Linked DNA regions of Rhinolophus ferrumequinum. The protein of the gene in region 2 purifies or fractionates together with the protein of the main gene of each other region. This does not show direct contact. Links are inferred from orthologs where the notes say so. Each region holds a gene or a part of one and is shown on either strand. Other genes may lie near its edges. The genes, in order: SETD1B and CXXC1.

Evidence for each region.
Region 1: the proteins of CXXC1 (region 2) and SETD1B purify together in Homo sapiens (affinity purification with mass spectrometry; 11 studies listed by BioGRID and IntAct, counting the BioPlex papers as one, with this or other methods). This does not show direct contact. The link is inferred for Rhinolophus ferrumequinum from reciprocal best matches to the Homo sapiens genes CXXC1 and SETD1B.

The regions. Positions count from the first base shown.
Region 1 is NC_046308.1:5,457,048-5,471,329, reverse strand, and holds the start of SETD1B (histone-lysine N-methyltransferase SETD1B), read left to right. Parts: upstream 1-8,661; 5' UTR 8,662-8,810; intron 8,811-8,984; exon of another isoform or gene 8,985-9,122; intron 9,123-9,169; exon of another isoform or gene 9,170-9,188; intron 9,189-9,296; 5' UTR 9,297-9,310; coding exon 9,311-9,484; intron 9,485-9,704; coding exon 9,705-9,803; intron 9,804-10,435; coding exon 10,436-10,706; intron 10,707-12,727; coding exon 12,728-12,840; intron 12,841-13,703; coding exon 13,704-14,282. UniProt on the Homo sapiens protein: Histone methyltransferase that catalyzes methyl group transfer from S-adenosyl-L-methionine to the epsilon-amino group of 'Lys-4' of histone H3 (H3K4) via a non-processive mechanism.
Region 2 is NC_046302.1:41,094,518-41,109,398, forward strand, and holds CXXC1 (CXXC-type zinc finger protein 1), read right to left. Parts: upstream 6,199-14,881; 5' UTR 5,977-6,198; coding exon 5,974-5,976; intron 5,125-5,973; coding exon 5,006-5,124; intron 4,905-5,005; coding exon 4,804-4,904; intron 4,523-4,803; coding exon 4,287-4,522; intron 4,196-4,286; coding exon 4,016-4,195; intron 3,602-4,015; coding exon 3,578-3,601; intron 3,502-3,577; coding exon 3,256-3,501; intron 3,091-3,255; coding exon 2,983-3,090; intron 2,846-2,982; coding exon 2,661-2,845; intron 2,363-2,660; coding exon 2,155-2,362; intron 2,080-2,154; coding exon 1,969-2,079; intron 1,839-1,968; coding exon 1,789-1,838; intron 1,639-1,788; coding exon 1,542-1,638; intron 1,226-1,541; coding exon 1,073-1,225; intron 995-1,072; coding exon 848-994; 3' UTR 578-847; downstream 1-577. UniProt on the Homo sapiens protein: Transcriptional activator that exhibits a unique DNA binding specificity for CpG unmethylated motifs with a preference for CpGG.

The DNA.
Region 1 (14,282 bases), on a different chromosome or scaffold from region 2:
TCAGAGGTTGAGAGCCGGGTGGCACCTGAACTAAGCTTGGCAGGGTTGGAGGGTGGGCCAGTGGACGTAGATCAATACCCAGCTTGGGCAAATGCATGGTGGCTGGAAAACATCAGCAGGTTTGGCATTGGATGAGGAGTGAGTGAGGAGGGAGGCCAGACGCGGTTGCCAAGGAAACTGGGATTATATCATGAAGACTTGGCTACCAGGGCATTGGACAGAAGGCTCCTGAACAGGCCCAGTTTTGGGCCCTCAAGCTCTCTCTGGTGACCAGGGAGGAGCTGTGATTGGCTGGTGAGGCAACCTGAGGTTGGTAGGAAAGGAGGAAACCAGGTCCAGAGACATGTCAGAAATGACCCCAGGACCACAGGAGGAGGGGGGAGGATGAAAGAGGGCTTTGAGTGAGGGGAGGACCACTTACCTTTGCAGCCAGCCCCAGGCTTCTCACCTCAGGCCTGACCTTGCAGCAGGGACCCTAAAGCTCAGGGAGGGACTAGGACAGTTCAAGAGAGGGAGGGAGGCTGGCTCATCTGGAAAGGGGCTTGGGGGGAATTCACTTAGAAAGGTCACCCCACTCTGAGCAAGCTGTCACTTGAAACTGGGTTAATCTCATGAGCCTGTGGGAGGGCTCCTGATTAGCCTCAAAATCCCTAGACTTCAGTTTTCACTCTCTCCATCTGAGAAATGGAGCTACAATTTTGATTTATGACAGAACCACTTACACAAAGCTGAGGGGAGGGAACAAGAGGAAAAGTGAGTCTTCCCAGCCCTTCCTGAGTCCAGCAGAACAGCTGACACTGGCCCCAGCCCACCCACCCACCCCTGCCTGGTCAAAAGTCTGGCAGAACCCCAGCCCCAGCCGGTCTGGAGCATGTTTGATTTGGACCCGGCTCCAGTGGTGCAGGGGCTGGATCTGTAGCTAAAAATAGCCAGCAGCTAGGCCAGCTGCTGGAATCTTCCTCAGAGGCAGCCAGGCCAGGCAAGCCAGCTGAGGAACTGGGCACACCCCCACGCCTGAGAGCCCTACTCCTTTACCTGTGAGACGTTCTGAGGACCCAGTTCTCCTATTCACCAGGAATTCCTGGAGATTTAGAAAGGCAAGAAAGATGCTTTAAACTGGTTCTTCCATAGAGCTGTTGGGACACAGAAGCCTAGGGGAGCTGGCCAGGTGGCATTTGCGGGGTGAACTCATTTGGCCCGTGCCATAACAAGGCCAACTGAGCCCAGGAAAGAAGGGGCCAAATCCACTTCTGTCTTGTCAGGGCAAAGTCTGGCCAGTGCCGCTTAGGATGGGGAAGTTCATGACAATGCCACTTCCCTAGTGCCTCCGCGCATCCTGCGAGGTCACCACACACCTGACGGTCATCTACTCCATGTGACACTGAAGAAGCGGAGCCTTCATATACTAAGCTACTCTTAGTATACCTCTGGGGTCCCAGAGATAGGAGGTGGTCTGGGGAATCACTGCCATACAAAAAGCTCCCCTCACAAAGCCAGATAGATCAGAAAGAGCTCAAAAGGTTATTGGCTAACTTCCTTCTCCTGGTTCACATGGAGAGACCACTGCTCCCAGAAGGGCAGGGACTGCCAAGGTTACTGCCAGCTGGAGACAGCACTGACTGAGGTGGCCTTGGCCTTGAAATGACAGGGTGCCGCTCTCTACAGTCCAGGCAAAAGCTGTGTTTCCACCCAGAGGGTCCAAAAGGTCGCACTGCATACGGGGCTCTCGGTGGATGGGCCGGAAGAGGCCGGACCATGGCATCCAGTAGTAAGGCAGGTCAAGCGGCCTTCCTGCCTGGGGACGCCCTTCCGCTGGCGTGGCCCTCTAGGCAGCCCCACCGGCAGGGTGCCAGGATAGGCCCCGCCCCTGGCTCCCTGGGTGACCTGTGGGCAGGGCTACCCTCTTGGCAAGAAGGAACAACAGCCTGAGGACACACAGGCTGCTCCAGTCCCTCCCTGTCCCCAGGAGGTAATTGGGTGGGGGGGGGGACACAAAATTAGAAAGAGGAGGTGAAAGAGAATTCAAGAGGGGAGGAAGTAGCTGATGACAATCCTTCTGGGTCATGGGGACACCTCTCCCTTCCAAGAATCACAAGCAGACCAGTTTAGCACCTAATTGCTCCCTAATTGGTCCCAGGGAGGGAATGGAAGAACTGGCTGTAGCCCTCCAGGCAGCTGCTGAAAGGGGAGGGTGGGTTTAAATCATTTAACAATCTGCCTCCCAAGGCAGGTAAAGACCCCTGCCCCAGGAGCCTCAAGGACTCTATCCAAAGGGGACACAAGACACCCTCAGGCGGCACAAAGGTCATTGAGGATCAAGAGAGTTTTATGGTTTCATCAAAGGCAGAGCGGAACTTAGACCTTAGGTCTGGGGTTGAGTGCGGAAGGAGGGAAGAGGCTCATCAAATTATACCAGGAGCCTTCCCCCTCACCCTGGGTAGGGGGAAGGGAGACTGGTGACAGGTGTGGTGGGGTGCATGCCGTTCCTCCTGGCAAAGGACAAGATGGACCAAACCCAGCGTATCTGGGACTGGAGAGGCGAAGGCATGGCAGCCAGAAGAGCCAAGAGCACCTCCAGGTTACTTTCAACCAGACAGCTTTCCCAGCTCCCGGCAGTGATGCCAGCAGACAGCTGGCATGGGAGGGAGCCCAAAATAACCCAGACAGCTGGGGCTAGGGGATGCCATGGACATAGGCGCTGGGCTGGAAGTCAAGACACCTGGAACCCTCTCCTGGCTGCTGGTGGTGACCTCGTGACCTTGGGCGAGTCACTTATACTCTCCGGGAGGGTGAGTGACCCCCAATTAAGACAGCTCATGGAACAGCCTGTGGAGCTGGGGGCAGGCCCTGATCAGAACTCAAACTACACAAGAGGAAGAATGACGCTGGCTCCCTTCCCAAGGAGAGCCAGTCTTCCCCTCTGCCCTGAGGCTTTGCCACGTGCTCTGGGGTGGGCTGTGGGGAGGAGCTCGCAGCCAGCCAGCCCAGCCTCCATGCCCTGCAGCCACATCGGAATGGAGGCCGACTAGTGTGAAGCCTAAATGAGAGGCCAGCCGCTTTAATCGCAAATAATCCTCCCACCACCCTTTTCAGCATGCATCATTATCATTTTACACAGGAGACCCGCCCAAGGTCACCAGCACAGTGGAGATTCAAGCCCACAGCCACCTGACTTAAGAGCCTCCCTTGATTAAGCACCACAATGGCTCCAAACAAAATCTCAGGGTCAAGCCCTTACAGACTCCCCCAAATCTCAGGTAAAAGTGGGCAGGGCTGATCTGCAGCCCAAAGGAGAGTCAGTTCAAACCCCAAATGGTTCATCAAAGTCATTACATACTAGAGACCACAGGGGGGAAAGGGTCAGAGATCAAGGGCCATACCATCTCCAGCTGTGGAGCTTCCTGGAGACAAAAGACACTGGGAAACTGCGCAGACAGCTTGCGTTAGAATTAAGAGAGAGTTGCCATTATTAAGCAGCCAGCGACTCTGCCAAGCACAGAGCTTGCATCCTCACAACACCCCAGGTGTTAGCTAGCCCAAAGGTTCTTAAAATGTGTCCCCAGATGACAGCAGCAGCAGCACCACCTGGGAGCATGTCAGAAATGCAAGTTCTCAGGCCCCACCTACTGAATCAGTTCTAAAATGTGATTCCGCTCCATGCTCCAGTTTGAGAATCACTGACCTAGACCCACTTGTGCAGGTGGGCTCAGAGACTGCAGCACATGCAAGGTACAGCAGGTAAATGGCTAGCTGATATGTACGGCTCTAGAAACGGGTCGTTTTGGTGTGGGGGTGGGGAGGGAATCGTGGGAATTCCCAGGAAGTGGGAGAAGAGTCAAGAAACCTGTTCCTCACAGAGGAAGCTTGCTCAGATGACAGGTCCTGTTTCACCTCCCTAGCAGCTCAAGCAGTCACTCCGCGTGCCCAAACTGGGGGCAAGAAGGGAAGGCCCTGCTTCTGGGCAGCAAACAGTATCTTTCTAGGCATCCAGGGCCCTCCCCCCACCACAAAACACACCACTAGGAAACACTTGCCAGTGCAGCCTGTCCTATGCTACTAAATACAGCAGAGAATTCCACGCCCCAAACTCTGACAACAGAAGCTGACAGGCGGGATGGATGGACCCAGCAGGCAGCCGGTTTCACACACAGTCCCACACATCTGTGTGGGGGAGGGGCCGCAGAACTAGCCTAGCGGGTTTGAGGTGTACGCCCAACCGGGGCTCCGGGCCAAAGCCCCCCAAATAAATCTCCCTCCCAGGCTGCAAAAGGGCTTACACCTACCTTAGTGGGAGGACTCTCAAGAGTCAAACTAGGCCTGCTCCTGCTGTCCAGAGGACGGTCCACTCTGGGGGTATGGCCTGTTGCCCCTTCTCTGGCCAAGAGCCTGGGAGGTTGGGGGGGGGAAGTGGGAGGATTTGTTAGGGAGTTGATGGCCACAAACTGGACAGGATCTCCTGGACAGAAAAGGAGACTTACAAATCTCCCCCTCCCCCACCCTATTCCCAGCTGCCAAGGCAGTCCTCACTGCGCAATGGGTAAGAGGGGGGATGGTGGGTGAGTCACGAAGGTTCAGCCCGGGTGACAAGCAGCAGGAGGCCACTCATCTGCATTTCCAAAGGCCGGCCCCGTCCGTAACCCTTCTCCCAAGAAGGGCCATAGTGAGGATTTACCTGGGAGCCCTCCGACCCCCGGGCCTCGGGGAAGGCCCGCAGAACCTTCCCAGGCCCCAACCCCCCACCTCAGCCCCTAGAGGGCCGGGTTGGAGAGCACACCCTGGACAACCAGATCCGGGCGTCGGTGGCTTCCGTGAGGGCCTCACGCCCAAAGTGGGGACAAAAAATGACCCCGCGCTTCGAGCACGGCTAACAAAGGGCAGTTGGGAGCCAGACCTGGGAGCTGAGGCTCGGGTGTGCAGCTTGGGGTCAGGACCTGGCCTCCGGAGGGGCCGATCCACGTCGAAGCCCAGACCAGCCCCGTGGCCCTTTGCTACTGGCTCCCTCGCGGGAGGAAGAAGGAAAAGCACCCGCGGCCGGGCGGTGGAGCGAGGCCTCGTGCCCGCGCCCCCCCTCCCCCCACGACTGTGGCGCGGGGTCCGAGCCAGCTGCGCTGTTCGCGCTGGTAGTCGAGGCCTCCTGGCCAGGGGCGTCCACACAGGCAGCCGCTTGGAACGCGGGAGGCGGCCTCCCCTCCCCCCCGGCCCCGCCGCTTCCCTCCCACCTCCCGCCTGGCGCGCAGCGGCCGCCACCGCCCGAGCCGCGGGCGGCGCGCGAAATGGCGCCCGTCTGGCCGCCTCGCCCCACGGAGGCGAGCGCGGGAGTCCCGCCGCGCGACGCCCCCAGGCCCGCGACCCCCGAAACGGCCTCCGCCACCAGCCCCTGGCTCGGAGCGCTGTGCCCCGTGGGTCCTTGGGACCCGGCCCAGCTGAGGGACCACTGCCTGCTCCGGGCGCCCAACGACAACCGGGGAAGGAGGGAGGAAGAGGAGAGTAGCCGCCATTAGCTGCCCGCCCCCGGCCCCAGCCTGTGGCTCGGCTCTGAACCTTAAAATAAAACTCGTGTTTGGGAGGGAGGAGCGAGCGCGGCCGGGAGAACCGGCGGCGCGCGGGCTGCAGGCTGGAGAGATGCTGCGTCATGGTGCCAACATGGACGCCGGCCTTTTGTCCTTTGTTGTTTAGGAAGCGCAGGCGCGCCCCGGAGCCCCGAAAAGCCGGCTACCGAGTGCGAGACCCCCACAATCAAAAGGGAAGGAGGCCCTAGATGGGGCGGGGAGGTCTCCTCATCTTTTGCGCCCCCGTATTTCCAAAGCACTTCAATTTCTTCTCCCCACCAAGGCTCAGAACTACAAAAGGGAGGGACGAGCGCAGGCGGCTCCCTGAATGCCCGGGGTCGTTGGGGGAGATTCTTCTCGCCTCCTGGGTAGAAGGGGCAAAAAAGGTCCCAAGAGCCCTCCTCGGGGCCCCCACCCCTCCCCGATCCGGCTGCCAAACATAAAACTCCAGAATCTTCCTTCTCCCCTCAGCTCCCACACATTTGCAGCCCTTGGCCTGCTCTAAAATAAAATAATTTCCTCGAAGGGGCAAAAGGAACTTTTTTTTTTTTTAACTTACCCGCTCACCCCGGTGCCATGGAGTCTGGAAGATCAAGCTGGGCGGAGAGTTTGGAGGTGTTATTGTAAATATCTTTGGGGGGGGGAATTGTTTAGTTGGGAATATTTAGGGGAATGGTGGTGCCTTTTTGTTGTTGTTACCTTTTTGTAAGTTACACTCTCATGGCATTTTCTGTTCCTTCCACTTCTGCAAACTTTCCAGGGTTGGGTTGGCAAAAGGCGACTTCGCTGAGGGCTGTTTACTGCTCTCGATATAGCAATGGTGTGACCGTCATTAAGAGACAAAAGGCGAAAACACACAGTCAAGTCAAACAAAAGGCAAAAAGACACACGGCCATCCCAACCACCATAGAAAATACCCGCGAGTTAACGTTGGTGTTTGGCTCGAACCAGCTAGGACTTGTTTTCCACTTTTAATCTAGTTTCCTGTGACGGCTTCAGTCTCTACACAAAGAGGTCTTCCTTTCCCTCACCCACCCCTCTACCAAGACGAGAAAAACAGAGCTGTTTTTCAACTGATCAATTTTCAAAGAAAGTGTACATGTTACTAGGAAGAAAGATGACTAGCATTTATTGCTGTAAACATTTTCAAAAGCTTAAAGCTAAAGCCTTAGCTTTTTAAAAGCAAAATCGTCTAAGAGCATTTTAACTGGCTTATAATAGACAAGAGCAACAAAGACATACATGCAGATGAAGGTTCAGAAAATTAAGGACATCTCAGCAACATTAACATGAAAACTGCACTGCGTAAGGACACAATGGATTGGGTACTTACAATGTAAAAGGTTTTTAAAAACTTAAAGAGTAACAACTGCTTACAATTTTTTGTTGCTGCCATTTCGCTAGTCCTAAAACTACACATTTAAAACATTACCTTGTTAAAAAAAGAGAGAAGGAGTTAATAAAATGGCCAGGTTTAAGTGTTTAATAGAGGAAACTATATATATTTAAAAATTTATTGTTCAGTTAAGAGAATACAGATTAAGATAGCTCCAAGCTCCCCCCACCCACCCAAGAAAAAAGAGGAAAAAAATTAAATATGTCATTTACTTAGGTTTTTTGGAATTCAAAATTGTTAACTGCTGACATTAATGGTGTGCTATGACCTAGTTATACAAGACAAAGATGGATTCCAAGTCATAAGGAAAAATCCAGATCTTTTTAAAAAGTCTTCTTCATTCTTCCAATAGTGAGTCCTTTAGCTTGTTGACAAATGTTAAACACAACACTGAGGCGTCCTGAACTGGATGGTGGAGTCAAAGGAAAAACATTCCCCATTTGCAACAAAGGAAAAACCCACTTGGCCATTTAATTCCATTGCAGAAAAATGGCTCCCCTCATCTGTTGGCCTCTCCTTGGTGTCTGATGAAGGATGTTTTGAGATCAGCGTCTAATAACTCAAGCCCTATAGAAGCCGCGCGCTGATTGGCTGCCGCGCCCTGCCGCCCTGCTCCAGCCAATTACCTACCCACGGCCAAATTACAAACCCCGAAAAAGAGCCCCAATATGAAATACACCACTACGAGCCCCAGCGAGGCGGTTCCCTCGCCTCGGTCGCCAGACACGAGAGGCAGAGGGGGCTGCAAATGCGTCCTCGCGAAGCCCAGGAGCCTCGGAGTTGAACTCACAAAATGGAAGCCGCGCGCTGATTGGCCGCCGCCACTCCCGGACCTTTAATAAAGAAAGGGGAAGGAAAAGATAAATGCAAAAAAGGGGGACTCTCTCCTCCGCTGGTGGCTGGAGGAAGGAGTGGGGGGGGCGGTGGAGAGAGCATGTGTTATGGACAATTACAGGGCGCTGCTCTCCAAAAATAAAAACAGAGCAAAGGGCTTCTATCAGCCAGAGTCCAGGCGAGAGTCGCATCCTCCCAGGAATGTGAATGCTAATTTGGTTAAAATCCTGGTTTCCCCTCCCCAGCTCAGCTCCGGGGGGGAAGCGGGGGAGGGGGTCGCGGGGCAGAAGAGGAAGCTGGAGCGTATATACCTCGATTGCAACTCGTCTTGAGTCGTCTTGCCTCCCCACGGGGCTCGAGCGTCCAGACATACAATCACACACACACACACACACTCACACACCCCAAAACCCCAGTCCTTTTCCCCGAGCCCCCACGCGCCCACCTCAGGTCTTGGCAGTTTGGAAACAGTTGTGGAGGCCCGAGGCGCACGCCGCGGCTCAGAGGGTAGCCTCAGCCGTGGAGGTAGAGCCCGGGGAGACCCCTTCCCCCGCCCGCTAAGCCCCCCACCTAGGTCCCAGCAGAATAAATAAATTAAAAGGCCTTCCCCCAGGGAGGGGGGAGGCAGTGTGGGAGCGCGCGAGTGAGGGGTGGGGGGCCGCTGGGGCCCGGGGCTTTGGCGGCGCAGCTGCCGCCGCCGGGAGAGTGCCTGGGGAAGCGGCGAGGAAGGAGAGGGGAGGAGGAAGAGCGGGAGGAGGAGGAAGAGGAGGAGGGTGAGCGCTCGGGTCGGGCTCCTTAGCGGTGTATTGTGGGATGTGCGGCTACTGGGAGCCGAGCCTCCGCCGCCAGCCGCCTCCCGGGCAGCAGCAGCAGCAGCAGCAGCGGCGGCGGCGGCAGCAGCTCCGGGCCCGGCAGCCGCGGCCGCGGCGCCCCCCCCTCCTGGCCCCCCGTCTGGCCGCCCCGGCCTCGGCTCCCGCGGGGGACACCATGTACTGGCTGGCGGCGCAGGGAGGCCGGCGCCCGGCGGGGATGTAAGCGCGGCTCGGGGAGGGAGAGGCCGCGGCCGGCAGCCGGGCGGCCCGAGCCCCCAGCCCCGGCCCCGACCAAGCGGGCGGGCGGGCGGACGGGCGGGCGGCGCCAGGCCTGCCCTGAGCCCCGCGCCCCAGCCGGGCCGACCGAGCGAGCGAGCGCCACGCCGGGCTGCGGGGCGGGCACTATGGGCCGGAGCCCGCGTCCTCCGGGCACCCCGGTCCCCACCAGCCCGCACCGGAGGCCCCCAGGAGCCCCTCGCTGCTGCCCCGAGACGGTGGCCGAGCGGGCGGGCGCCTAATTCTCCCGGAAGGGTTATTATCTCGTTACATTCTTATTTTGGGGGGAGCCAGCGAGACAGTGCCTTTTGGGGCGCGCTGGTAAGGTGGGAGGGGGTGGGGGCTGGACGATTTGATTCTTTCGCGTGTGTGTAGAAGCGGCCGCCGCCGCCGAGGCGGCGGAGACGACAACAACTTGCTCGTCTTCAGGTTGGGTTAACGGCATGGAGAACAGTCACCCCCACCACCACCACCACCAGCAGCCCCCGCCGCAGCCCGGCCCTTCGGGCGAGAGGAGGAACCACCATTGGAGAAGTTACAAGTTGATGATTGACCCGGCTCTGAAAAAGGGGCATCATAAACTGTACCGCTACGATGGGCAGCATTTCAGCCTGGCGGTAAGTAGCCGGCGCGCCTCCCCGTCGCCCCCACCCACCCCCAGCCACGCCGGGGAATGAGGTCCGAGCGGCCCGGGGACCCCCGTCCAGACCACCGGGCCAACTGTCAGCCGGGTCCCCAGCCCTGGAGTTTGACAAGTGCCAGGAGGAGGGGGGTCTGCCCCTGCCTGTGGGGATTGGGACCAGCCCTCCCATTCCGCCCCCCAATTCCTCCCTACAGATGTCCAGCAACCGCCCGGTGGAAATTGTCGAAGATCCCCGGGTCGTCGGGATCTGGACCAAAAACAAGGAGCTGGAGCTGTCGGTGCCCAAATTCAAGGTAGGACCCTTCCCCCGGCCCCAAAGTCCCTCCCCCCTCCCACCCCGAGTTCGAAAATAACGCCAGTCCTGACCGAGCCCAGCCGGATTCTGAGTTCCCGCCGTCCCGGCCGAGGAAGTTTTGACGGGGAGGGGGAGATTGCTGCAAGAGGGGTGTCCCCTCTGAGCTACAGTAAACAGAATAACACTGCGGTGAAACTGTAATCAAGGCGCTGATACTGTGTCCTGCCCGCCCAGCTGGGGGCTCCGGGTCCCCACCTGGCTCCTGCCAGCCCGGGGGCTTGGCTCCGGGACCCGCCCCCCTTCCCAGCCTTGAGGCTTTAGAGAAACAACTTCCTAGCCCAAGGGGTTGCCCCTGACCCGCAGCTGGAAGAGTAGGCCAGAATGGGGGTGGGGGGTGGGGAAAGAGAAACTGTTTCTTTTTCCCCTTTCCTTTCGAACCCAGAGGACTTCCACGTTCCAAACGATTTAATCCTTCGCTTCCCGGGCCCGCCCGCGTGCATTTTTTTTTCCAAAAAAATTTTTTATTTTTTTACCCTTCATTGTTTTACACGGGCTGGCGAGTGGAGAATGTTCTGTTTTCCCTTCAGTTTCAATGTTCTCCAAACTCCCTTCCCCCTCGTCCCCTGCCAGATCGATGAGTTCTACGTGGGCCCGGTGCCTCCGAAGCAGGTGACATTTGCCAAGCTGAATGATAACATCCGCGAAAACTTCCTGAGGGACATGTGCAAGAAGTATGGGGAGGTGGAAGAGGTGGAGATTTTGTATAACCCCAAGACCAAGAAGCACTTGGGCATTGCCAAGGTGGTCTTTGCCACCGTCAGGGGAGCTAAGGAGGCCGTTCAGCACTTGCATAGCACTTCTGTCATGGGCAATATCATCCACGTGGAGTTGGACACCAAAGGTGAGTGGAGGCTGCTGGCTCAGGACACCCTGTGGAGGGCGCAAAACCTGTCAGTGTGACCCCTTTCCCTCCCGGAACTCCTCTTGCAGTGTCGGGGACCCCCTCACTCTTCCTTGGGTGCCCTCCTACAATCTTATTTTCTTTGCCCCCTCCTGAGGGTAGAGTCACGTGGAGCTAAATGTGTTGTCTGTTGCTAGGAGACAAGCTGTAATTTACCAAATGTGCCGGTCCTTGGCCACTGCACCCCTAGGGACCACCTAGAAGCTTCCCCACCGCTGACACCCCCTCAGGCCCCTCTCCGAGCCCTGGTGGCCTGGGTTTAGACAGTCCCCAGTGTTGCAGTATGTTAGGGGAAGAGGCAGGGTTTGTTTATTTGGGGGGGTGCTAAGGGGAGCCACTAGGATGCATTTCAGTACATAAAGAGTAGGTTCCTCAACTAACAAGAGAGTCCTCCGAGGATCCAGGGTGTACGTCCCTCCCCATACCGCCCCTAACCCCTGGAAGTGAGAACCAATCTGGGCCCAGAGTGAGGTTTCATTGATAATGTTCCAGATACTGCTCCGCGGCTGCACTGGGTGCTCCAGGGTTGACACTGTCTTCCCTCCTCTCTCTTAAAGAGACAGTAGCACCTCCTGAGCAGTGCTGGCTCACTCCCAAGTGGCTGGCTGGGGAGGCCACACCTCCCACCCTCGGGGTCCTGGGAGGCTTCTCCTGGATGCTGGCTGGAGGGGCATGCAAGGACTCTAGTTCCCACCAGGACAGAAGAAGGTGCCGGGTTCTCTGAGGACCAGCCAGCCCTGTGACTGGGTCCAGAGTCTCTTGAGGTCTCTTAGGAGAACCCTGCCTGGGCAGGCATAGGTGGAAGGCTTCCAGGGATTTTGTGAGCAACTGGGGCATTCAACTTAAGACAGAAAAATCTAAATCTTTATTTTTGGTTCTAATAACGAATACATGTTGACCGAATCTCAGGCGTTGCTGGGGGCTATGGAGGGGTGCATGTCCCGGGCAGGCACTGTTATCCCATAAGTTCTTGCTGAGCTGTACCTTGTTCTGAGTCTCCTGGGGGCACAAGCCCAGGTTCCTGTCCAAGCCACAGCTCCCCTCACATCCCTTTCTCTAGTTTCTCAGACTCTGGGGGGGAATACAAACCCTTTCAAATCTACATCTCTCTCCGGGGGCTGCAGTCCTAAGACTTCAATGTGGAGCCCTTTCCCTCCCGTCACACACCCACGTTAAGCAGTGTGTGATCACCAAAATTTCATTTCTGCAAACAAAAAAAAGGGGGTGGGGGTGGCCCTCAGAGACTGCTAACTAAGTTTGTATTTCAAGAAAGAGACCAGTAATGCATAGCTCAAGGAATGCGTCTTCTTTGCATATGTAAGCAGCTGCCTCACAGGGCTCTATAAATATCAATAATCTGGGGCCCCCTGGTCTGCAGAGGCCTTCTCTGCTGGTGGAGTGGGGTGGAGGGTTACCAGACATGGCTCATGGGGCCGAGCCCCAGGCACAGCTGGGGAGTCTGGTCAGAGGAAGGAGGCCTGTGGAGTTGACAGGAATGGGGTACTAGAGTGTGTTTTATAAACGCTGCTGGTCACCTGGCCCCAGATAGTTAACAAAAAACTGTCACTTCTGTGTCACTGGGTCTGCTCTCCACTTGCTACCAGGCCCTGGCATTTAAGGGGGAAGGCAAAAGGACAGGACTGGGAAGACCTGATTCTTTGGGTGCCCAGGTGACAGGAAGGGGCTTTGTATTGAGTGTGGCATTTTGTATTTGGGGGAGTCCCAGCCCCACAAGGCATTAAATTCTGAGTCTCAGGATGAGAAAAATCACACAGTGTAGCAGCTTCACTGAACATATAGGACTCCTGAGTGAGGTGCAAAGAGAGGTGGGAACTTGGTCAGGGTCACACAGCTTCTCCAGGCTTGGGGTCTCAGGCACAAGGGCCCCACAGGCAGCCGTCCTGTGGAGGCTGTCCCGTCTGAGAGCCTCGCTGAGTCCTTCATCCCTTGTTCTTCCATAGGGGAAACCCGCATGCGGTTTTATGAATTGTTGGTCACAGGCCGATATACACCCCAGACCCTCCCAGTGGGCGAGCTGGATGCTGTCTCTCCGATCGTGAATGAAACCTTGCAGGTAGGTTTCTCACCATCAGCACCCCCTCCCCATCACCAGCTTACTGATGTGCCCCTCACCCCCACTGTCACCATCTCCAGCCTTGGACACCAGAGCCTAGGAGGGAAAGTAGCCTGGCCATGCACTGGCTGGGAGTCCCACAGACCCCAAGACCACCTGGGGCCCACTTTCCATGTGGATGCTGAAACTGCTGCCCTTGATGTCCTGTGCATCCCTCTAGCCCTGCCCCCAGAAAGCAGAGTTCAGGTCCCTCTTTCCAGAGCAAGACTGACTCCTTCCCCAACCACTGCCTCCTAGGACCACCTTCACCTAGAGAGATTCTCATCCCAGCCCTTCCCCAACCAACCTTAGGAATAGCTTTTCCAGAATGAAGAGACTTTGCTCATTTGCTGGTCAGCTGAGTTCATTAGGTGCATTTACCATGTCATACTATTTAAATCCTAAAACACTGGGAGGCTGGAGGGGACAAGGCCTTTGGCCACCCCCACACTCCCAGGAACATAGTTTCCATGGTTTTTCTTGCTGCTCCTGCGGGAAGGTCTTTGATTTCTGCCAGCCTGAGACAGGAAGGAAATCCTAGTTAAAACCAAGATGTCAGGATCTTCTGTTTTCTCTGCTTGAGGGATTAGGAAAAACCCTCAAGGTTCTCTGAGGATAGTTGGTGACTCTAAGAGTAGAGAAGGGTTAGGATCATCCAGAAACTCCTCTTCAGTCCCCCACCCCCCAATCCTTTTACCATGCTGCAGGTCTAGAGTGACCAATTTGCCTCTGAGCTCCCCAGCAGCCAGAGTGAGAAGGGAAAATAGCCCCATTCCATTCCATGTTCCCCATCCCCGTGATGTCACCTACACCTCTCTCTCTAGCTGTCAGATGCCCTGAAGCGCCTCAAGGATGGTGGACTGTCTGCAGGCTGTGGCTCTGGATCATCCTCTGTCACCCCCAATAGTGGTGGGACACCCTTCTCCCAGGACACTGCTTACTCCAGCTGCCGCCTGGACACACCCAACTCCTACGGACAGGGCACACCCCTCACACCACGCCTGGGCACCCCCTTCTCCCAGGACTCTAGCTACTCCAGCCGCCAGCCCACACCCTCCTACCTCTTCAGCCAGGACCCCACGGTGACCTTCAAGGCCCGGCGACACGAGAGCAAGTTCACGGATGCCTATAACCGCCGCCACGAGCACCATTATGTCCACAACTCTTCTGCAGTCACTGCAGTGGCAGGGGCCACGGCTGCTTTCAGGGGCTCTGTGGACCTCCCATTTGGGGCACTCGGCAGCAGTGGCCCTCCATTCAAGGTTCAACCACAGGATTCAGCCACGTTTGCCCACACTCCACCACCTGCCCCAGCAACCCCCGCTCCTGGAGTCACGTTCAAGTCTTTCTCTCCCTATCAGACTCCTGTGCCCCCTTTCCCCCCACCCCCTGAGGAGCCCCCC
Region 2 (14,881 bases):
AGTTATGTTGAGCTGGCCCCAGCTCTTTCCCCAGAACTGGGGAAGGGGGCAGTGCCACACTACAGGTAAACAAAAGGCCAGGTCCATGCAACGGATGAGGGCAGGTCCATCCTGGAAAGGCCAAGCTGTGAGCCCCACTGGACCTGCCAAGCAGATTGAGTGGGGTGAGGCTTCTGGCACAAAGTCAGTGGACTCCTGCTGCATACATGTCCCCAAAGAGGGGTTCGTGGGGAAAGAGGGGGCCTTGGGATCATCGGGTACACCTTTGGTCTGGAGAATATTAACACTCACACAGCAGTAGTAAATCGATTAGCCACACACTGAACGAGTGCTGACTGGACTGTCTCAAAATGAGGCTGTGAATGGTGGGCCATTGGGCTCTTCCCTCAGCAGGTCGTATGCCCACAGCTCAAGGAGGGAACCTGCACCAAGTGGGTGCCAGTTGTATACTCAGCCTACACATGCACTGCAGTGCAGTCCCTCATGAGTACAGGTGTGCCACGGCCCATCTACCCCAGGGGTTTGGGAATGCAGTTGCAACTGGGTAAAGTTGGGAGACCATCAGTGGTTCTCTTTCTTGGTTCTTCACAAAATTTTATTAACAAAACCAGGGAGGCTGAGCAAGAGTGAGCAGCCTCCACAGTCCCACCCAGAAACAAAAAATGGAGAGAAAATGGGAAAGACAAGGACAGGAGGAAATTCTGAGACCCTCTGGTAAGGGCTGATGGGCAGTCAAATGGTGGGCGGGCACAAGGAAAAACTCAGGGACCATTACAAACAGCAAGAGGATTCCAGCAAGCTCCCACGCCTGGAATGCAGGGTGTGAGGACGTCTGGGCCAGTGAGGCTCAGCGGTCGGCACTGGAGCGCAGGTCGGTAGTGAGTGGATCATGCTGGATTGTTTGGTGCAACATCAAGGCCAGTAATCCTGCCCGGTTTGTCATGGCTGTGCGTACATTGCGCTCCTGCTCAAACAGCTCATCCAGCTTGTACCACTGCCAGGGGAGAAGAGCCATGAGAAGGAGTTCTGGAAGACCCACCTCACCCTGGCCACATCCGGCATCAAAACCTACCACGCGCACACGCTCCAGGTCCACCTCAGCACGCCGCAACTTCTCCCAGCAGTAATGACGGTTGCACTGGCGCTTGGGCAGGCGGCAGAAGTCACCTGTGAGCTCAAAGACGTCACGTACAAGGGGGCATCCGCATACCTCATCAGCTGGCACCTGCAGGGAGATGGAGTGGGGATGAATGAGAGGTGCTAAGTCAGGAAGGAAAATAAGAATGAGGAGTGGTCAAGGAGGGAAGGCATGGAGAGTTCAAGGGAGAGTGAAGAATGGAAAAGGAGAGGAACAGAGGATGAAGAGGCAGGGAAAAGGGGAGGAAAAGGAGATGATGAGAGAGTACAAAAGAAGATGAATGAAGGGTAATGAGGCAGGGAAAGTGTGAGTTATGGAAGTGGTCAGGTGGGAAAAGGAAAGGAGGTGGAGCGGTGAGGAAGGTAGGAGGGTCAGAATGGGGGGAGTTGAGGGAAAACCTTACTTTGGGGTCCCGTGAGTGCTCAGGGCACAGCACTTGGAGCCGCTTACAGTATGTCTTGCTCTGAGGATTGTAGACATCACAGAAGAGTCGTGTGGCCCTGGGTATTGGAAAAAGAGAGAGCGTAGTGGGGGGAGAGAAGGAAGAGGTCTCACTTATCCTTGCCCATGCCCATATCCTGCCACAACATTCCACTTCTGACCCCAGCTTTAACTTTGCAGCCCTAACCCTACAGAGTACCCACACTCACCCTTCAATGCGTGTGGGGTACATGGACCCAAAGGACGTCTGGCTCTCATACTGGAAGGATGAACACAAATGGAGGGAACTGTGGACATGCGCTGCATGCCCTCCCAAGACAACACATCTGTCCCCCACGGACCCAGTGATACTCCTGCACCGTGTGCCCCTCTCAGGCTGACACCCTGACCTTGGCATAGCAGCGCTCCATGTGGCGCAAGGCCACACGCGGGTTGATGGGGTGCCCGCAGGAGACACAGAAGATCTGCAGGTCCGTGTCATCACTGTCGCCCTCGTTGCTCTGCATGGAATAGAAGGAATGAGGCCCGGCAGGACCAGTACTGGGCCCTGCGCTGCCATGCGCATGCTTGCTCACCTCCTCATCCTCACGCACAGCCTGCTGCTTGGCACGTGCAATGATGGACTCGAGTTCATGGAATCGGCGCTCCATTTCCTGAAGGCGGGTGCGGGCACTCTGCTGCTCACGGCGGATGCGTTCGAGCAGCTTCTTGCCATGCTCCTCAGCAATGCAAGGGCTCTGCTGCCACTGCTGGATACGCTGGGGAAGGATCTCGTAGATGCGGCTGTAGGGAGCAGTGGGTTAAGTGTAAGTGGGAAGGTGGCAATCGAGAGATGAGCAACTGGGGTCAGCCAACAATGGCAGAATGAATGGGTGACTAAACGGTGAAAGGTAAGCAAATAGGTGACTGAAGGGTAGATAGATGAGCAGATAAGTGACCGAACGGTGGATGGATGGAGGATGGATAGGTGGGTGGTTGACTGAATGGTGGACAGGTAACTGACTGGTAGACATACAAAGGGATCTGGTCAAGTCCTACTCTATGCTCCCTTATTGCCTTGAACCCTCCAAGAATGACTCACTTGGCTGCCAGCTTCATGCCGCAGTCGTCTGAGCAATACTTGGAGCCGGGCTGGGCAGGGCGCACACAGCCAGGTCCCAGGCACTGTGGGAGTGACGCGGGGTCTTTGACATCTGCGCGCTCTGGGTGTTTCCATTTGTCCTTGTGCTTCTGCTTTTGCCGATGCCGCTTGTATCTCTCTTCCTTCTATGGGACAAGGCAGGTCAGGACAGTATACGTCAGCCCAGACCCCCATCTCTCCCTGCATTCCACCCCTTTCTGGCTCTCGCCCCATTCAGCCCGTGCCCTCTTCCTTCCCACATCCTTTTCACCCTCTCCATCACCTTCTTCTCAGATTTCTTCTCCCGACGCTTCACATGCTTCACTTTCACTGCCCTCTTCCGCAGCGCAGGGTCCAGGAATGGGGACTCTTCTGTGTCACTCATCCAGGGCTGCAAGTGAAGCATACAGTGACCCACCTGCCCCACTCATGACTTCCCCACCACCTACTCAGTTCCCAAATAGCCTTCCATACCATCTGCCTCCTCTCTCCTCATTATGGATACTCTGCTTCTGTAACCTCCCCCCTTCCACCCTGGGTGGCTCTGCCTGCTCACCAGGCCGTGGTCATCAAAGGCTCCCGCACAGAAGTCCTGGTAGAGGTCAGGGTCCAGTGGTAGGTCCTCATCTGAGAGTGGCTCAGGTGTGGCCGTAGCCTCAGGTGGCTCCTTGACCGCGGATGACGCCACTGACCCCTCGTCTTCACGGATGCGTCCCAGCTTCTGTGATGGCTGTGGCTGCTGCTGGGTGGGCAGTGGCCGGCGAGGCCTTGGCAGGGACTCTGAGGGCGTCACTGGCGAGAGCTGCAGGGCAGAATCTCAGGACTGGCCCTGAATAACCTGCCCGCATGCCCCGCCCCGCCCTGGGGGCTGGACTCACCGAAGGGAAGTACTTGTACGATTCCTGTGCCGGCAGGAGAAGGCCCAGGTCAGCCCCAGGTGGATGGAGGGTGGCCCTGCCCTAGCCTTTCCCACAAGTGCCTGGCCCCCCCAACCAGCCCCTACCTTGCCTACCCAGGCACACCTGCCCCCCCACCCCTCATCACTAGGACATGCTGAGCCATGTTCCTCCTGCTCTGACATGTCTGACGACCTAGAAACATCTGGCCCTACCCTGACTTCCTGGGTTTGGGGGTCTCCCCTGCTAGCCCAGCACACCTGGCCAAGCCCCATTCACCTGGACAAGCCTGGCTCCTTTCCACCTGTCTCTATGCAGTTAGGCCCCACCCCACCTAGCCCACCCATCCTAGGCTCAATGAGCTCTTCCTGAACACACTGGCCCCCTAACCTGACCCTGCCCAGCTCTGCCCATGCTCACCCGGGCCCGAAGCTGGCACTGACGCAGCCGGCACTTCTGCCGGATCTTGTTGGGGCCCCCAAACTTCTTCATGTCCCGGCAGAAGTCACAGTGGCCACAGTCTTCAGTACGTCGGCAGGCCTCGCACTCGCCACACATGCGGGCTGACCGTTTGATCTGCTGCTGCTGCTGCTGGTGATGCTGAAGGAAGGGGCCCAGAACACAAGTCAGGAACCCAAGTTGGGCCTGAGATGGGATCACCTTACTTATCCCTGCCACCACAGCCACTCACCTGGCTGGGTGTGGCCACCAAGGGCTGTGGAGAGGATTTGTGGGGCGAAGCAGAGCCCCGAGCAAGCATGGCCCCAACCCCTGTCCCTGACCCCGCCCGGCGCTGCAGGTCTGGATCCGGGGCAGGCCTCTTGCGCCCTCCACCCTCATCCCGGGGCTCACTGCCGTCTCGCTCATTGCTGTCCCGTTCCCGTGACTTCTTGTGCCGATAGCGGATCTCCAGCTTGGGGTCTTTCTCTGTAGAACAGAGGATGAGGCCGGGGAGGCTGACATTGGGGATTTGGGTTATCCCAGAACTCTTTTTCCCTCTTCTTTCCTGTCCCACCCAATGGTCTGTCCCCCTACTCCAGAGTACAGCTGCCCCCTCCAGTGTGACTCTCTATTATTGCTCACTACAGAACAATCACTCTGCCCACAGACACGTATCACTATTCCCTGAGACCCAGCCTCCCATTATGGCTCCTTCTCCTCCCTCAAAGCCCCACCTGCTTACCCAGTCCATTCCACGCGCCCCTCACCTCGGCACTCCCGACAGTACCATTCCCGGATGGCCTTGGCCATCTTCTCAGTGATCCGGATGCAGTCCCCATGGAACCACTCATTGCAGTTGTCACACCCACTGCAGAGGATGAGGCGAGTGGTGCAGATGTGAGGGGCGGGACCCATCGGCCTCACCCAACCTTGCCAGCTGTCAGTCCCGCCCACCTCTCCCTGGCTCACATCATGAAGCAGTTGATGTCTGGTTTGCGGCAGATGCAGTAGATGGGTGCATTCTCCCCATTCTCCGACTTGCTGTCCTCTCCAGCATCTGGAGGCTCTGGATCTGAACCGTCACCCTCCTGTGGGATCCCCCCAATTATGGCTTCTTAGAGGACCCCCATCATAGCATCTTCTCCCTCCATTATAATTTCACCAGGGCTCACCATAGACCCCAACACTCTGCCAACAGAATTCCCATCTTGGCGCCTCATAAATCCCTCCGTCATGGTCCCCACAGACCCCCACATCAATCACCCCTGACACCCCATTACTCTGCTTATAAACCCCCATTGCTCAGCCCCAGACCTCCCATACTTACCTCGCTGACACCCCATCATCCTAGCCACACATTCATAAAAGCTCGTTACAAACACCCTACCGCTCGCCACACACTGCCCCCACTGTGGCTCCTCACAGACCCGGCCCACAACGCGTTCTCACAAACATCTCGTAATTCAGCTACAGCCTTCGCATCACAGCTCCCCACACATCCCGCGTTATTAACCCCACAGTCACCCTCGCCCCCATCCTGGTTCCCCATGGACTCCTTGATACAGAGTCACCACGGTGCACTACAGACTACCTAACATGGCTCATCGCAAACTCTTTATCACTCTGCCCAAAGAATCCCCCATTCGGACTCCCAAGGAACTACCATCAGGGTTCCTCACTAAACTTCTATTACGGACACCCACAATGGCTCATCACAAAATTCCCACATGGCTCACGTATCAGAAAAACCATCAGACCATCCGACAGTCATCATTCCTCCCAGAGAACCCTGTTAAGGCTCTCCACAGGCCCCCTCAATTCTGCCCAGACTCCAGTTACGGTTCACCACAGACCCCCCACGCGTCTGCCGAAGGACCCCACCATTACCAAACCCACTAACCTCTACCGCCAACCCTCTCCCGGGACCCCGTACTCACCATCTCTCGACTCTCTGCGCACTCCTTCGCGGTCCCCGCCAGCGACCCGCGAACCTACACCACTCTACGGTGTCCGCGGCGGTTGCAAAGGTGCCCACAACTACTTCCGCTTCTGATTGCGCCTCCCGGGCACCGTACTCCTATTGCGCAGGCCCAGCGCATCGGCTCCATAAACAAACAAGTGGTCGCCAGCCTAGAGCCCGGACTGTCTCCTAGGCGCCGCCATTTTGACTACCGAGGCCGTTTGGCGGCCGAGTCCATACGTTTCGCAGGAAACATGGCCGTGCCTGAGCGCGCTTACTTGTGGGCGCCGCCACCTTGTTGGGCGAGTCCGTACGGTGACCGCTTGTACGGTCTCAAAGTTGGAGGCAATATGGCCGCGCCTACTGAACGACTTCTATGCAGACGCCATCATCTTGGAATGTGATTCCGTAAGATGGCCGAGTCCGTACGTTCCCAGGCAGCACATGGCAGCGACCTATTCGTGGCTTTCACCGGGCGCCGCTATCTTGAAGGTCGATTCCGTACGCCTGTACCTTCTACTGCAGAGAAGTTCACACTGCAGAGAAGTTCACAGGGAAAGCGGCCGCTCCTAATAACACTACTTGGATCCAGTCGCACTCGTTTCGCCATTTAATCACTTTTCCTTTCCGCATGTGTTAATGGGGCTCCGGCACAATGTCTTGCGCTGCGAAGGAAAGCAATCCCACTATTAGGTTTTCCACGTCACTTCCCGCCACTCTTTCCTGCTCGTGTTCCTTGCAGTTCCTTAACCAGCCCTTGCACGGTTCAGTCGCTGGACCGTTGCAAGAGCACTCTCACCCCGCAGAATTAGTCCCGAGTAAAATGGAAGGCCATAAACGATGGTGGCCTGACCATCTTTGGTGAGAAGTAGCCGGACCGAAGCAGATTTTGAAATCAGAGACAAACGGCTTCACCAAATCATCCCCTCACCCCGCCACTGTCAGAATGTAGATTTGCCTGGTTCCTGGTGGTGTCCACTTTGGTTCTCATTTCATACCTCTCCAACAGTCGCTTCAATAAAGGTAAATTAACTTTTTAAAATTTAAATCGTGTACAATAAAGAAAATCTGTGCAGGTCAGAGAGCTAGACGTCTCCTCAGAGTAATGCTCTAAACTGGAGGACAGTGAAGGTTAAATGAAATACAACATGTCTGGGTCATTATATATTCCCCACTTATAACCATATTCCTCTCCCTCCAAACATCACCCCCCAAACACACTAGAGCGGGAATCACCGTCATAGTAAACGTCCACATTCAAAGTCAGGACTTCATTTTGGATTGAGAAGAAGAGTCTGGAGAAAATGGGATTTTTTACCATTTGCTGACAGTTTTTCTGGATTTCTTGGCTCTGGAGGTAGTAGCAACTTATTTGCTACTGAGGATTCTGCTGCTAGTGGCTTAGGAGGTCCGATTTTTTACCCCCACCTTTCCTAACATTTTTCTTCATTGTCCTCTCCACAGTGTCACAGACACATAGACAAAGGGGCCACTACATAGGTTCTGTGACCTTCTCTTCTTAAAAGAGGTTTTTAATATTTTCCAAGGATTAATTCTTTGTTTCATTGTTTTTCTCATCCCTATTTCATTAATGTCCACTTTAATCTTTACTATGACTTCCTTCTGCTTTGGGTTTAATTTGCTTCCCTTTTATTTACGTTGGAACTCTAGATTATTGATTTGAGTGGAATGGACTTTTAAAAGAGAAACTAGATAAATGAGCGATCAAAACTCTGCTTCCAGTAAAGCTCATAGTAAAATACATAGTAATGTGCCAATTCCAAGAAGCGAACCTCCAATTTGATAGAATATTCAACCTATTGTTTGGGGAAGGTATTAAGAGACCCTAACTGGCTCTAAGATCCAAAGCACATTATTAACCTTCCTAGCTCTTCTTTTATCCTCCCATGCATACCTCTGGGAAATTGTGCTACTACCTTATTTGCTATCAGTGGCAAATAAGAGCAGGGTGGGAGACTCAAATGTGCTATTACCACTTGACCATGCATAGCTGAATCGGGCAGTTGTGCATATTGTTGGCAATGATCATGTGTATGAAAGTTCTAATTTTATCATTGGTAACAAATACCATCAATTGTTTTATTTGAAGTGATGGTCTCTCTTGGTTCATATTTTTTTAAATGTCTGCCAAAATAACAAATCTAAATAACTTGTTCTTTCAGATAAAAATGATGTTCCATGAAAAAAAGTGGTTAGTTCAGCTCACAACTCAAACCATCATAGAAGTACTTTTCCTCAAAACAACCCTTCCACTGTGGTATGCAGTAGTGCTTCATGCTGCTCATTTCATCACACGTAATATTAAAATGATAGATGTATTGGGAGCTGCTCAGTCGCCTCGGGATCAGGGCAGCTGGGCTCTGAATCCGAGTGATCACAATCTGCTTCATCCTCATCCAGAACAGGGCAGGCAAGATATGCCTGGCCAAATGGTACATGCAGTTTGATGATGATGAGAAACAGAAGTTGATCGAGGAGGTGCAAACCGTGATCACTGTCCGAGATGCCAAACAAACCAATTTCCATGATGAGACAGGTAAAGAGTTAACAGGAACGAGCTTGTGAGTTAGCAGGAATGAGCTTAAAAATTAACCACTGGGCTCTGAATCCCCTGGAGGCTAGCTGTGGAAAGAGAATGATTCCCAAGGGAAGCCAACTGTAACGGCACTATCCTGCAAGCTGACAAGCAACTTACATCTATCATAGATGGGAACAGAACAGTTCCCAGAAGACAATTACAACGGCAACCCACTGCAAGCTGACAGACACCCTACATCCTGCATAGAAAAATATAAAATCCCTGCAGACTGCATAGAAAAATATAAAACCCTACATCCTGCTAGAAAAATATAAAACCCCTGCTGCAGCTGTCTACTCTAGACTCTGCCCAGCTGACTCTTCCTCCTTTTTTACTTCAATAAATCTTCTTTCTGCATTTCTATGTGCCTCGAGAATTCTTTCACAACTGGAAAGATAGCAATTGTCGTGTGACGCCTTCAGTGCGCGTGCATAGAGCCCCCAATAAACTTGTGGTTCCCACCTGGGAAAAAAAAAAGATGTCATTTCAAGGGTTGAGATTTAATAAAATTAGCAATTTTTTTGCTAATTTTATTGCTTCATCAAAGATATTCTTAAATGGGACTGGATATTGTGTGTGTGTGGTAAGCAATGTGGTTAATACTAGTGCAGTTTAGAGCAACTGCCTAGATATGTGCTAATGTGCCTGCAGTTTTAACAACCATTGATTTTACCGCTTTTGGTACAAATATTAATGTGGTGAGAAAGAAAAAAAGTCCTAATATTATGAAAAGGTTTGACCTTGCAACCCACCTGAGAATATCTCAGGTATCCCAAGGGGTCCACAGACAACACTTTGAGAACTTATTTTCTATAGCACAAAGATTAGTATTAATGAAGTACTGTTGGATATTGTTGATTGATTGACATTGTGGACAAAAAGGGGTCCTACAGAAAGTAATCCCACAGGGAGATCTGATCACAAATTCCTAACTGGGCAGGTCCTGATGGGTAGTCACACCCCAGTCATATAACTTCTTTAGTAAAAGATTTGTCTTAAGCAAGCCCTGTCCATTGTTTTTGTACATCTAGGTTAACACATCTTTGAAATAAGCTTAGCCACCTTCAAGAGAGCACATAATCTTAACTATCCTGTAATCCTATCCCCAACTTGCTTTTTCCTGCCTTCATGTAATCTCCTCATGTTGCCTCTTTAATTCAAATGCATAAAAGAAACTGCAAAACTGTTACTCTCCAAAGCATTAGAGATTTTGCTTCCTGGCAATTATCAGTTTGGCTTAAATAAATTCTTATAAAAATTCTTTACAGGTTTGGATGTTTCTTACGTTGACAGTTACTTGGAGCAGTCGGCAGGATTTTGAAGCAGGTGGTCCCCAGGACCACCCTGTTGACTCAGGCCCAGTGCGAGGTACAAGCAAAGGCCCATCGGCTCCCCTCTTCACCTCCAGTGAACTTGAGTGAGTTTTCTCTTGGAATCCTGGGCCTCCTTGCTTTAGGTAGCGGATCCTGACTTAATTTGAATTGTTCTTTGAAAATCTTTGAAGTGGATAAGGGTCAAGACAACCCAGGGAAAGAAGAAATAATGGGGGGCGGCTTTTAATTTCAGCTTTTTAATTGGATTACTTACTGAGAGTCTGAACAGAATCTTTGCTGGTTAAATGAGAGACTGAACTTTTTTTTTAAATTGGGTAATATTGGGGAACAGTGTGTTTTTCCAGGACCCATCAACTCCATGTCAAGTCGTCGTTTTCAATCTAGTTGTGGAGGGCACAGCTCACTGGCCCATGTGGGACTCAAACCGCTGACCTTGGTGTTATGAGCACTGCACTCTAACCAACTGAGCCAACCAGCCGCCCGAGACTAAATTCTCTTTAGCTCCAAAAAAGAAAGGACATTTTCTTCCCTAACCTTCCCTAGCCAATGGGTGTAGGGGGCAGGCTGTAAGCTGACAAGGGCCTTGCAGCCTCAAGGTCACTCCCATGGGAAGCCTTGCCTCAACATCTTCCCAGAAAGTACAAGATAACACTAATGCAGCCACAGACACACAAACTTGCCAATACACAAAACAGAATGTTCTACTGATACCTGCTTGTTCTGCTAATAGTTGCTTGTGTAGACAATTGTTCTAAGACTGTATATAAACCGTGTGTGAAATAAAGACTGCGCCACTGCTCCACCATCCGTGGATGGTGGACCTCCCGATCCCAGCTTTCCTGTCTCCACGTCTCCTCGCCCTTCCCCCTCAGGCTGAGCCCTCCTGGCCGCTGCGGGCCGCAGCAAATGGGGTGATGATAGTTGTTTCAGAGTAGCAGAGATAGTTGCCACAAACAGTCCAGTGTGGTAATACAGCATATCCCAGAGAAACCAGTGGGAGCCACACGGGGAGAAGGGCAGGGCACTCTGGAGTGGATTCACCCCAAGAAAGGGGTGTGTGCCTGGAAAAGTGCCACAGTTCTGGTTACGTCCAGTAAGCTTTCACTGGCTTTTGCTCTGGTATTCTTGGGTGACTAAGAATCTTTGGGGGGTTGCCTGAGTTTCCTTTGGGGCATGAAGGAGTCTTATAGGGATATTTACCACATTTGGCTTGTCTGGAGATATGCACGTAAAGGCTGGTTCTCCCTAGAATTTTGTTCGGATTTTACAGATCTTAAAGGAAAAACTAAAATTGACGTGGGAGATTGTGTCTCTGAGGCTGACAAGCCCGAAGAGAGTCAGCCTCCCATTAATACTAAGATGGCTAAGACAAGGATCCTTTGATACTTTTAATCTTTGTGCACACAATTAGAAAAAGGCAGCTATAAAATTAAGCAGAGTGAATGGAAAGCATATATTTAGACAATTTCTTGAAACTTTAAAAAGAGGATTTGAATAAATGGATCAACCTATGATGTGATTTAGGTGTCAACCCAATTCTTTGAGGTATTAAAAGTGGCTGTCCTTATGTTAAAAGGGGAAAAGTCATTTGGAACTTGACTTGTCAAGGACAGATACAAATTGTAAATGCCTCCAAAACAAAATCTGAATCCAACTGTTCTCTTATAAACTAGTGAGTTTTTCTCATGGCTAAAAGGTCTCTGTGTCTATCTATGTGTGTCTACATATGCATTTTGTAAATGTGAGATAATTTTCTACCTCTGGATGGTATTGTTAAAATTAATTGAAAGACAAGTGCTTCTAAGGATTGGATATGCTAAAATTCTCAGATACATAGAAACTAACTCAAAGGCTTTTCAAGATCTAAGATTAATCTTTAGTAGATAAAAGTTTAAGTGTGTTGGTTCAAGTAGAACAGATATATCTTTCGAGTTATTGATATTAAATGTAATATATTTTACCCGTGTTTACAAAAATAAGTCCACGTTAATAGCTAACTGACTTTTGATGTCTATGAAATATGTTTTTAGAGGTTATAAAATGTTTTCATCAATTTGCCAAGTGAAAGAATGCTAACTGCTTACTTCTTAGTTTTCATTAGAAATTGAGGTTTTAAGGGTTAAAATCTCAATATAAGTAGGAATAACTTTGCTGTGTACTAGAAAGGCCCCTGGTACACCTCAAAAGAGTTGTCTTTTATGTTAAATTGCATAGGAACTATTCTACAATAAGTGATAAAAAAAACTTCTACAATATATTGTATGGGTAAACAATGGATGTAAATTAAATGAATAATTGGGGCTATGGGAAACCCAGCACAGCTGCTTGGTTCTTTCAGGCTCCCTGGCTAACCCCATTTTTCAGTTTTTGCATTCCCTCATGCATCATTGTGCATTTAAGTTGGTCTTAAATTAGAGGAAGGAACTTACGAGCTGACATTATTAAAAGGAGACATCTCACACTATTGCCAAATATTGATAAAGTCACTTCAATAAAATGCCAAGTTGGTATCTGCCTCCTTTCACAGTGAGCTCCCAAGAGACAAAGACTTTGAATATCATTGACTGGCACGTGGAGATATTGTTTATTAGAAAAGACTTCAAATAAAAGACACTTTCCAACTCTGTTGGAAGGGAACTTATCAGGTCCTAACTATAAATGGACATCTACCTCTGTCTCCGACACTCACCTCCACCTGTAGTAGACATCAAAGACTCCTCTAGGATGAGAAGCTGCTGACATCAGAGGTAGACAGCTACCCCAAGAAATCCACAAGGCTGGTATACCTACAAATTGATCTTGAACTCAGAAACCATTTTGTCTTTACCTGTCTGCTAGTAATATCAGTCATAATAATAATATTCTTTGGGTTTTCCTATACAGTCCAACTGTTTATGACTACTGAAGATGCATAACAGTTAATACTCTTTTTATGGCTTATGTAAATGTTATACTAAATGCAAAATACAGAAATATGAGACAGACTTCCAAACTCAGATCATGATAGTTTCCACTTACTTCCTCTAAAAACACAAAGGCCTGCTCCTCCGGTTTTGTGGTAGACTTTTCCTCTTACTGCTGGTTGCCACACAAGCCCTGGAAACCAACCTCTCGTCCAGCCCCTAAGTTGGTCCGTTTCTATCCCTCATAAATCTGATCTGTAAATATCACCTTGAATCCTATGGTTTGCTGATGTTGAAGAAATGATATCTGTTACTACCTCCAGGGGAGCAGTCCCACCACATGAAGGATAGCAAATAGCATAACAATGCCTGTCACTGGGAGTAGCGGTCTCAGGATGTCAACCCATTCTATAGTGGGTGTTGGAGTTGCCAAGAAAGACATGACTTCCAGAGGCACTGGATGGAACAATGCTGCACTCACACAGAGAAGGGACAAAGCAAGATCAGCTTCGGCAGTGGGCATTGGTCCCCCACAGCTAGTGGTACCCTTACTATCTTATGTGGGAATATATTTCCTTGTTTCAGACTCCTTTGTTCTGCTTAAATACAGCACCTGGCCAACCTCACTATAATATCCCTCCAGGAATGGAGCCCTTCGCCTGCAGCATAAGAGGGGTGCACATAGCTCATCACTCACATAAGGACAGACATATATCTTACTTCTGTTGAGTACTTGTATATGATTAAGAGAGGAATTGCTGGGTTATATGGTAGCCCTATGTATAACTTTGAAGAAATTGCCACAGTTTTCCAAAGTGACTGTGCCATTTTACATCCCCACCAGCAGTGTATGAGGGTTCTAATTTTTCCATATCTTCCTAAACATTTGTTATCTGACTTTTGTATTACAGCCACACTAATGGGTGTGAAATGGTATCTCATTGTGGTTTTGATTTGCATTTCCCTAATGATTTCGAACATCTTTCCATGTGCTTATTGGCCATTTTTATATCTTCTTTGGAGAAATATCCAGATTGTTTGCCTATTTTTTTCATGTGTTATTTGTTGTTATTTACTTGTAATAGTTCTAAAAATATTCTGGATACATGTCCCTTATCAGGTATAGGAGTTGCAAACATTTTCTCTCATTCTGTAGATCATCTTTGTACTTTCTTGATGGTTTCTTTGACATACAAAGTTTTTTAAATTTTAAAGATGTCCAGTCTATGTATTTTTTCTTTTGTCCCTTGTGCTTTTAGTGTTATATCTAAGAAAGCATTGCCAAATCCAAGCTCACAAAGATTCACATCTATGTTTTCTTCTAAGACTTTTACAGCTTAAGCACTTACATTTACGTCTTTGGTTCATTCTGAGTTAAAAGATCAATTCTGAGTTTTCTGTATGGTATGAAGTAGGGGTCCAACTTCATTTTTATGCATATAAGTATCCAGTTGTCCCAGCACTATTTGTTGATTATTCTTTCCCCAGTGAATAGTTATGGCACTCGTGTCAAAAATCAATTGACAATAAATATGAGAGTTCATTTCTGGAGTCTCAATTCTATTCCAAATCTGTGTTATGCCAGTAATACATATCTATATGTCTTGATTACTGTAGCTTTGTAGTAAGCTTTGAAGACAGGAAGTATGAGCCCTCCAACTTTGTTTTTAAATATTGTTTTGGCTACACTGAGTTCCTTAAATTTTATACAAATTTTATCATCAAATTGTCTAATTTTGCCAAGAAGTTAGTTGGGATTTTGATAGGGGTTGCGTTGAATCTGTAGATGAAATTGGGGGAGTACTGCCATGGTAACAATATTTAGTCTTCCAATCCACAAACATGGGATGTCGCCCTTTCCTCTTAACGTGGGCCCTGACTGCAGGTAGAGTTGGGCTAGGCTGGGCCTAGGAATGGGGGCAGCTCGACAAGTTTCTAGGGTCTAGGGCCCAGGTCATGAACGCCCTTCTTTCCCCTTCCTCCTCCCACTTCCACCTCCCCTCCTTTCCAACCCCTTAATTGCTACCGTTACCACTGTTGCCAAGTAAG